2 linked regions of the Neodiprion lecontei genome follow. The protein of the gene in region 1 interacts with the protein of each later gene in a pairwise test. Links are inferred from orthologs where the notes say so. Each region holds a gene or a part of one and is shown on either strand. Other genes may lie near its edges.

Region 1 (5,700 bases):
GCAATTTGTTAACGCATTGCTAATTGATCTGTCTTTTTCCGAATACCCGTAATCTCTAATGATAATTATATTTACTTTCTTTCTAATAACTGCGGGACATGTTGAACAAAAGCTGCATCATAACAATTATGATTGCTTATTAGTTAACAGTGAAATTAGTGTAATACCACAGTCATTATTGAATCGTGATCACATTTGTATAATAATAATAATTACCATACACAGTCATAATGTTGCGTGCAATTGACACACCAAATAGTCTAATTTTTTGATAATATTAATAATATAAGCAACAAAGAGTGTACAATACTATAACTTAGACATAACTCTTAGTCATATACACCTACCATAAATGTGTTTTTAATTTGAACAAAATTATTACATTATACTACGCGCATTACATGTAGATAGCTGAACTTTGGTTTTAAAAATAATAATAGTCATTTTAGGTGACACAGAAGAGAAAAAAGAATGCTCGAAGAAAAACTTTTGGTGTCACTACGACTACACATAATGAATTACTATATCAAGACAATTCTTGCTCTCTACAACTCAATATAGTAAACATATTCCTTTTCTTCAATCACATCTAAGCTATTATTATTTTATTTTTGAGTTTGAATACCTTTTTTGAATGTCTACTATATTAATTTCATTTTATTCCCATGTTCTACTAGACATATAATTTGAATGAAAAGAAATCTTGAAATATCTTCAACACGTGTTTGAGTATCAAATTTTATTATTGGTATCGCGTTTAATATAAATTTATAATTTGAGGCAGTTGGCTAAATAACATGACAGCATGTTGCTTCGTACCAAAAGATTTATCCAGAATTATCTGTAACATCAAACGATAAAAAAAAGATGTATCAACGTTTATTCTTGCTAGTATTTTTTATTTCTACTTTGGTTTTTTATTTGTACTACGTACTGTATTCCAATTGACCTCGTGCTAAAAAAAAATTAAAGGGACTCAAAGATGCGGTGTTATTGATTGGTCAGTTTTATTTTTATCTCTTAATTTTTTCTTTCTGTTTACCATATGAGTGTATGTTATCAATAATTGCTACTAGTATTCATGAAATACCTGGTATATAAATCCTAAATCATATTTTACCAGATTATTGTAATGCGCAAACTCTATATAAATGTAATATCAGCATGTGTTTGATTAGTGAAAAACATTTTGAAACCAACTTAAGCATAGGTCATATAATTGGTCAGAGGTCAATCAATTTTAAGTTGCATACTTGACTGCATAATTTCAATTACGTATACAAAAAATAATACGAAATCATAATGATGATGAGAAAATAAACCAGTATCAAAAATGGATAGAAATTTTTTTAAATATGCAGAGATATGTACTCTAAGTATAATCGATTGTGCCTCTGAAAAATACCTCCGAATGAATCAATTATGTTTTCAAATCATTATCTATAAGGCGTGTCTATATAATAGCTATTGGCAACTATAAGCATGTATATACATGATAAATATAATAATAAACCTAGAAAGTAATTATCAAGAAGAACACGAGCCGTTTCATTTCATCCTAAAATTAAAACAATCTCTGATAATTGACGGTGTTAGTTCAAACAAAAAGCAATCACAAGGGCATTCGTTTTTTGAATTCTAGTGGTTCAATAACTGAAGTTATGTATTTCCATCATGTAGGTAAAAAATTATACAGTCGCATCTTTGTTACCAAACTTGATTTCAAATAATACTAGTACATAGTTTCTAAATGAAACGATATATTATTATTCACTCAGCAGCAAAGCACTAAAAAAAAAATTCTCATATTAAAGTTCCATAGGAAAGCAAGTGTTTCAAGAAAGCTACACAAGAAAGACCTGTGTACTTGATTTGCAGATTGTAATTGTGGATTAAATAAATTTCATAGTTCCGTTTCAGCTTTTAGTATACCATACAAATATGATTACAATGCGGTATACATATACTCTGCGCGAGACTAGCTTCAGTTTCCTGATTTCCTGATGTGCAGGCGTATCTGAACATGAACCAAATTAACATTATATTATCAACTAGTTTACCTACCAGGATGGGATTTCGAACAGTCAATCGCGAAAAAATTGTGAAATTTCTTTTTTTTCACTGTTCGTCGTTGTTGGCGCTTGTCATGTTTACATAGGACAATCACGTGCGATTGGAAAACATTTATCACGCACTGGTAATATATTTATTTAATTGTCAATTTTTTGTGATTTTTCGAAATTCGAAATGAATGAGTCGTTTCAACTAGACGTCTGGAAAGGGGATTGGGGCCTTCCTTCTGTCGATCTTAAGTGCTTAAATATTTTGGTATGTTCTTCAGTCTTAGTAAGGTTATGATCATCAAACTTGCATTATTCCGCATCATTATTTTAACAGAAAAGCTTCTTATCACATCGCAGTTTTCAAGATTTGATTATTAATCCCATCTTCAAATTGACCTGCTGAATAATCAACCAGAATATCTTATACACAGTTAAAATATCGTACCCTACCATCAATGTTTTCACAACAGCGAGAACTTCAGGTGTTTAAATTCAACTTGATCTAGATGTTTCCACTTTGTACCTTGTATTGTCATCTATTGATAGAAATTTTTATTCCTCTTACTGGTTATATACTTGTGTAATTAACTGGTTCTCAGGCAAACTTTTTTTTTTCTTCAAAGACTTAAGTAGATTGATAATCATCTTTGTATTGAAACTTTACGTCAAAATTCTCACAGGTATTTTTTCCTCACATGTCCAATAATTATTTTGTAGGTCTATGCCAAATTTAGTGGAGTACCGCTCAAGATAAATCCTACTAATAATCCATTTCGGACACCAAACGGTGCACTACCTGTTCTCCGATGTGGTAGCGAGACTTTAGACTCAGTGAAAGATATAACTGCATTTTTTCGAAAAAAGAATTACACAGCTGATTTTAGTCTTACTCCTAAACAATGCGCTGAGGTCGTCGCATATGATACTATGCTTAAGGAGAAAATTTACCCGGCACTGCAATATGTTTGGTTAGTATAAAATAATAATCATTACCTACTAACTGTGCAGACAACAATCATGTCAAATCATCTCGTAGATCTGAATGAGTAAGTGGGAAATGTTAATTCATAGGCTTCAGAAACACGCTTGCGTGCATATGATTATCAATGCCCTAAACGTTAATTTTAGGTTTCAAATGTTACAGGTGGGTTGATGTAAAGAATTACAATGAATTCATACAGCCATGGTACGCCAAAGCACTACCTTTTCCTTTGAATTTCTTTTACCCTGGTAAATTTGAAAGACAAGCTAGGAACATGATGGAATCGCTGTACCCAACTGAAGGCGAAATCAGTGCCATAGAAAATGCGGTAAATAGAAATATTTTACAAATGCTAGTATTTATTTATTTGCACATCTTCAGTAATTATCAACTAAAATTGCAGGTGTATTCTGAAGCACAGAAGTGCTTGACACTGTTATCGACTCGGCTGGGAGAAAGAGAGTATTTCTTTGGCCCTCACCCTACGTCTCTGGATGCAATAATCTATTCATATCTTGCACCTTTGTTAAAAGCTCCACTGCCAAATCCTGCATTGCAAAATCACCTCAAAGCCTGCACAAATTTAGTCAAGTTTGTAACTCGTATATCTCAGAAATACTTTCCGGACATATGTCAAGAATATGAGAGGAAAAAAGCTGAAGAAAGTGTTAGAAAAATGCGAAGAGATTCAGAGAACGAATTTCCCCACAAGAAGAGAAACCAATTCCTTGCTGGCGTTTTTGCTACTGTAGCCATGGTCGGTTATGCTTTATCCACCGGCATTGTTGAGGTATGTAAGTAAGGATAAGTTGCATTAAAGCACTCTTAAATACAGCTCCAAGATATACACATAAATTATTAATAGATACTAGTCCAAGATTTATACAAACACAAAATTACGTGAATGATATTATTAAATGAGGCTTTAGACTAGTCTGTTACACCCATTCTTAATACTATGAGATCTCGATCTCACTGATCTTCAGTTCATAATTGCTAAGATAATGGTTTTTTTAACATTGTCACAAATCCTTTATCTCACATAGTTAACCAATCCTAATTTCATCATTATAACTTGTGTGAATTCCAATTAAAAACTTACAACAAGAATTGTTCGTCTTAGCTAATTGCATGGATGTGTCTGAAAAGGAAGATCTAATCTGTGTTTAAGTATGTTACAAAATTGTAAAAGCTATTGACTGATTCCGTATCAAAATTATCTCCCACACATCACAACAGAATTTCTGGAACAACAAATCGTTAAGGATCAGTAGGGCTCGAAAAAAGGATTTGTGAGCATAGATCTAAATTGATATAGGTCAATTCATAATCAATGTCATAATGTTAAAACCCCGGAGGTCCCTTACAGATTCCGAATAGAATGAAATTATGGGTGAAATCGGTAGGTACAACGAAAAATTCTCATCCAAATATGAAAATGTTATGGTCACTTGACAGATTCGTATCAAACAAAGAAACCTGGTGTTTTGGTATGTAATTTAGACATGCCCTATTAACGAACTGAGCATTTTCATACAAGTCTTTTCAAATTAACACCACACTTACTCCAATATTATGCGAAATAATCACTTGCGAAAAACATTATGTATCTGTTGAAGGTAACAAGAAATGATGACCGGATGTTGGAAGGGCCACCGGACTACATGCTTGAAGATCACACTAGAGATGAGTAGTATTTCGATATCAAATTGAATTTTAATCTCCAGAAGTGAAAACAATAAAAATTGTAAGATGTTAATAAATGGCCGTTATTTTCGAATAATGTTTACCCGCAAACTAGTACGTAGTCGTTCAATACTGTAAATCACAACTTTTTAAATCACTAGCTGTTTCTTTCAACTGAGATTATTCGAGTGATTTAGTTTAGACTTATAATCAATATTTGCAGTTATACGGTGAAGTTACTCAGATAAATTTTCATAAAAAAAACAGTTACTATCACGGTACAACGTATTATAAACGGACCAATGATTATGAAAGAAAATAAAAAAGAATGGCTTACATATCACTGACTAATGCAAATTCGGAACAGATACAGACATTATCCAGTGTTAACTATTGTGTACTTGAAGCTTGAGACACGTTTTATGCAACATAAGTGTAACAGCAGTGAAAAGTAATGCAAATAAATATTTAGTTACAGTATTGTTGAAGCTTTATTAGTTAGTTATTCCTACTTCGATATCTTCTTGTTATACTATTAGTAGCGCTTTGAATTTCCTCTGTGAACGTTTGGAAATTGTGAATTGTCGTACCACCTAAAATTATTTTTGTTCCTGGATTTTGTTTATTCCAATTATTCACAGCGAGACTTTCTTCATAAGTCGCACCGCCCACTATGAAAACAATAATTTCTTGAGGTCTGAAAATTTAGATGAAATCAAATACATGAGTACTGATTCGTGTAGTACCTACATTATATGGGAATTATTCATATTGCTTTGGAATATTATTATAATGAACATACCATTACTACGGTTTGCCATAATCAAAGAAGTATTCCAATAATATTCGTTCTAAATACCTTTTTGACATGACCATATTTCCTAAATAGGGGAAAGTTTGAGTGCTCAACCTTCCTTTCAACAGATCATCCAATGTTTCGACTAGCAATGGTTTATGTTGCGTATATAT
Region 2 (4,582 bases), on another chromosome or scaffold:
GTTCAAGATCTTGAGTAAGGATGGTGAAATACTAGATCTCATGAATTTTAATGGAAAAATCTTGCAATGTAGTCATGTTCTAACGACAAACTTGTTTTCAGAAAAATAGACTAAATCTTAATCTAAACAGAATGCACCTGATAGCATGACAATCATTTTACTATTCGTGACATTATACAAACGTATTAAACAGTAAATAAGTAAAGTACCGATGACGAGTCCAAATTGGTATTTATTGAGTCAACGGTATACAAGGTGTTATTTTAGGCGATGCTGCTGGCATTGGAGGCGATTCTTGGCCACAAATCGGCGCACTCTTTAGCTACTGGGCCAGTGATGGCTGAGCCTTTCATTTCACCTTTATTATTCACAATAACACCTGCGTTGTCTTCGAAGTATATGAATACCCCATCCTTCCTCCGGAAAGGCTTACGCTGGCGGATCACCACGGCAAGCATAACTGCAATAAAAAAAAATTATTTTTTACTCCATCATAAAGTCAAATTTTCACGCAAATCTTTTAAGCCAATAGTATCCATGTATACAAAGACACAGCACGACTAAACGTAAATGAAAAGTGTTCACCTAACCTAAAACAGACACTTGTAGAACTTGGAACATGCGTTGAATTGGGCAACAGCATGGCTTTGCAGTCGACTTTCATGATAACGAAAACAACTGAACATTGTCAGATGAACATATTAAGCCAGTATCGAGTTAAACGAACCTTTCTTTCTGAGTTCGGGCTTTCCCTTCTTAACAGTGGCAACAATCATGTCACCGGACCCTGCAGCAGGCAGTCTGTTGAGACGTCCCTTCACTCCTTGTACTGCGATTACATACAAATTCTTGGCCCCTTAAAAAGATATATCGATTAGATTAAACAAGAGACACAACAGATAGTGGCATGAGCGCAGCAAATTTTAATATGTGCATCTCATCGTGTACGCGCAGAGATCAATGTGAATGGTGAATCACGAACAGGATGAACTGCGTATAATTTCATCAAGTACGAACATATCGGAAAAAGAAGAATGTGAAGAATGAAGAATGATGATATGGACGAATGGTTGGAATAAGGACGTGGACACGCATAGTATTGACTTACGATTTGGACTAACTCACCCGTGTTGTCAGCACAATTGATAACTGCGCCAACAGGTAGACCCAGAGATATCCTGAATTTAGCTCCAGCGGAACCACCACGTCCTTAAACAGAAATATTAAAGTTGATAAACATCCATGAGGATCGCGTGGTCTCCGTTTGTTAGGTTATTCCCGTGTTCCGGAGCAAGACGTACGTCGCGTCGTATCGTGTTGTCGACAGGCGGCAAGTATTTATCACGCATCTTATTTCATCGTAAGGCACAAATAACGTTAAGTATACGTTTCGCATGACGCACACGTATCTTCCACGTTCGCTAAACACTCAAACGCGGTACGTCTCGCTCGGAAACGGCCGATTATTGCGGATTTATTTCGGCCCAAACTCGGGCTCACCTCGTTTCGACATCTTGCTTCGTTTGAAAGAGGAAGTCTGGGGCGCTCGATCTGTACTGCAGACCCCTGATCCAACTCTTGACGCGCATCATTTACACGCAGCTGAATACCAGCTGGTCAAAATTCGTACAAACGCGATGTCCCCAACACTCGTGGATCAGAAGATTGTGGATACATAAGGGGCTGAAAAATCATTGAGGTTTATTCTATCACCTTTACTTGATAATTAGAGGACTGGGTTAAGCTTATTGAAAATTTTCGTGGAATGATTCTCGAGTACTTAATTTGATCCGCAGCGGTCGTTCTGACATATCTAATTTTTGAAATAGCGCTGTGATCGATTAGTGTGCGGTGTGCGTATATAAATTTTCTCTAAATCGACTGTTTTCAGAATAAATCCTCAATTCGCAACAATTCATAAAGATGTTTTCAAAAGTTTACGAAACACTGGTTAGGAAAACAAAGGACCCTCTGCTCGGGGAGCATGTTATACAGACATTTGTCTCCGCCGTGGATTGCGAAGAGGTTATCGAACGTCAGCTTGGTCCTATCCCGACTTTTCGATTACAGAACATATTTTTCATTATAGCAGGATGACTCTCTAGCATCGACGCAGGGGTGCATGGCTATCTGCGGTGAAAAATATCTGGATATTCACGGTAATTTTAGTAAACAAACTGCATTATCACCTTCCGGTAGAACTTCAAAAATGCCCACATCTAACGAATACTTCGACCGCTCGATTCAGTAACTCGATAGCTCGACCTGCCGCAGACTCACGTCTCTTCTGCAGTTTGAAGCCCGCTTTTACTTAGTTGACTAAATTAATAAACGGAGTAAGTTCATCGCCGTCAAAATAATTGTCATAATGCCAGACGTTCTACTCTCAGATACGATAGCGATGGAGTTAGGAGGTAAATTTCAGACACTAATCGTAACCTCTTGAGATCTTACGCGTGCTTCGACTCTACCCTAACCTAACCTAACTTGACTCAGGTTATCTTTCAGAACAACGTTGCCACTTTATCGTGGCAGAATCTGTATTTAACACGACGAACCTTAACTCTTGTAAAATATGACGTATATGTAATCAAACCTAGTCAAACTTTACTCAAATCCAGTATATCAATTCCCCGTTGCAACCTAACCTAGCCTTGGTAACAGAAACTGACCTAACCGTAACCTAACATAACCTTATGTAATCCTGTTTGAACCCCTCAGAAATTATCTATGAATTTTGCTCTCCGACTATTTACTCTTAGCTCAAGAGCCTTGGCCGCAGCCGATAAAATTGTATCAGCCATATGAGGTCGAGCAAATTCTGCTCCCTGACAATGCAAACTGCCTGGCGGTCCAAGCGTACTTAAAAATGTGCGGTCTGGAGTTCCAAATTGAACCGAGAAGCAATGCGGAGTACATGTCTCCCTCAGGAAGAGTCCCTTTTATTCAATGTGGGGCTTTCCTTGTATCGGAGTTCGACCCGATCGTGTCTTTCATCAGCAGCAAGGGTTCTAGTCTTTCTGGAGAGCTTGGGGCAACTGATAAGGCTGACATGCGAGCCTACATATCGCTTGTTAATAATGTGCTAGTTAATGCTGAACAGTATGTTTGCTGGGTAGATCAGGCCACCTTGATTTCAGTCACCAAGCCCAGGCACGGCAGTGTCTATCCTTGGCCTCTCAATCATCTTCTTAACTGGCAAAAGCAAAATCAGATTACAAAGAAACTGAATGTCTTGGGCTGGTACAATAAAAGTCTTGACGAGGTATTCGGTGAGGTCAAAAACTGCTGCACAGCACTTGCCGAAAGGCTTGAAGGAAAAACTTACTTCTTTGGTGATGAGTGAGTATCTGACTTATATTTTTTACATTCAGCTGATACGGAATATAAATACTTCGTGGCAATCATAAAAATGATTGGAAGTACAAAAAAGATGCGAGATAATTGATATTTAAGACCATCCCTAAATTACAATTCTTTTTCCCCCAAGGCCAACTGAATTGGATGCTTTAGTGTATGGCCACATTCATGCCCTAACCACCACACCCTTCCTTCCCTCTGTCTGCGGAATGTCTGCAACAATAGGCAGATTCCAGCAGCTCATTGAACACTGTCGATTGGTGAACACTCTTTATTTCAAAAAGGAATCAGATATTTCTGTAGGCCAAGTGTATCTGCATGATACCATGTCCCAAGATTCATTTTGCAACTCTACCGGATCCCTTGAATCCCTTTTCCCTCTCACAGAAGATTCATTCGCCATGTTGAAAGCGAATGAAAAGAATGATTCCTTGGAAGAAACCTGCCATCTAGATTTAAAAGAATTTGTAATTGGTTAAAATCTTGGTAGTTTGATAGTCAATTTTTATTCTCACCAATTGTCAAATGTACCGATATTGTTTAAGACATGTGGTAGACCTTTAGAGCTTTATTATAAACTACTATCTACAAGTACGTGCAATAAAGTTCCATGCACTTTCAGGTCCTTCAAATTTCTTTCATATTTTAACTTACAACAACGTTTAAGATAAGATCTCGAAATTATAGCAGTCCAAATGAACTGGATGCTCTGGCCTTTGGACACATCTTCACCATCCTTACGACACCACTGCCTAACAATTCATTGGCTAACATCGTCAAGAGCTATCCGACCTTGGTCAACTTGTGTAAGCGAATCGAGGCCAGGTACTTCCAACGCACAGAGGACGACTAAATTCAGTTGATCAAGCCTCATGAGATGGGTGGCCTGTTGTAATCCTCAAGACTAAAATCTCCCCTACGCTTGAAAATTGAGAGATGGAAGATAAGTTGAATGAAAATGAAACAAAAAGTCAGGATTTCTCTGCTGAAACAGAACAAAAATCAATCCCTGGTTGTGAGAAATCCGTTTTACCGGTTTTCATTCGCATTTCAGAAGTAATTTTTTCAAAATTAATAAAGTTGCAGTTAGATTAAAACGGGCCACACTGTAAATTAGTGAATTTGGTTATAGTGTACTATAACCACACTGCCAAACGCTGCGAAGAAATATTGTTCAAATATAGTGGAAAGATTCGTGAAAATGTCTGAGAAGCAATTTAAC

Evidence for each region.
Region 2: the proteins of metaxin-1 (region 1) and metaxin-2 interact in a two-hybrid assay, tested with the Drosophila melanogaster proteins (2 studies listed by BioGRID). The link is inferred for Neodiprion lecontei from reciprocal best matches to the Drosophila melanogaster genes CG9393 and CG8004.

What each region holds. Positions count from the first base shown.
Region 1 is NC_060265.1:18,722,557-18,728,256, reverse strand, and holds metaxin-1, read left to right. Parts: upstream 1-2,190; 5' UTR 2,191-2,247; coding exon 2,248-2,328; exon of another isoform or gene 2,329-2,518; coding exon of another isoform or gene 2,519-2,545; exon of another isoform or gene 2,546-2,780; coding exon 2,781-3,031; exon of another isoform or gene 3,032-3,207; coding exon 3,208-3,373; exon of another isoform or gene 3,374-3,448; coding exon 3,449-3,835; exon of another isoform or gene 3,836-4,664; coding exon 4,665-4,739; 3' UTR 4,740-5,069; downstream 5,070-5,700. Other genes in the region: vacuolar protein sorting-associated protein 45, read right to left, coding at 5,230-5,428, 5,591-5,700. UniProt on the Drosophila melanogaster protein: Involved in transport of proteins into the mitochondrion. Essential for embryonic development.
Region 2 is NC_060264.1:31,956,264-31,960,845, reverse strand, and holds metaxin-2, read left to right. Parts: upstream 1-2,242; 5' UTR 2,243-2,368; coding exon 2,369-2,414; intron 2,415-2,762; coding exon 2,763-3,342; intron 3,343-3,490; coding exon 3,491-3,839; 3' UTR 3,840-4,024; downstream 4,025-4,582. Other genes in the region: 60S ribosomal protein L23, read right to left, coding at 264-460, 728-856, 1,126-1,209, 1,501-1,513.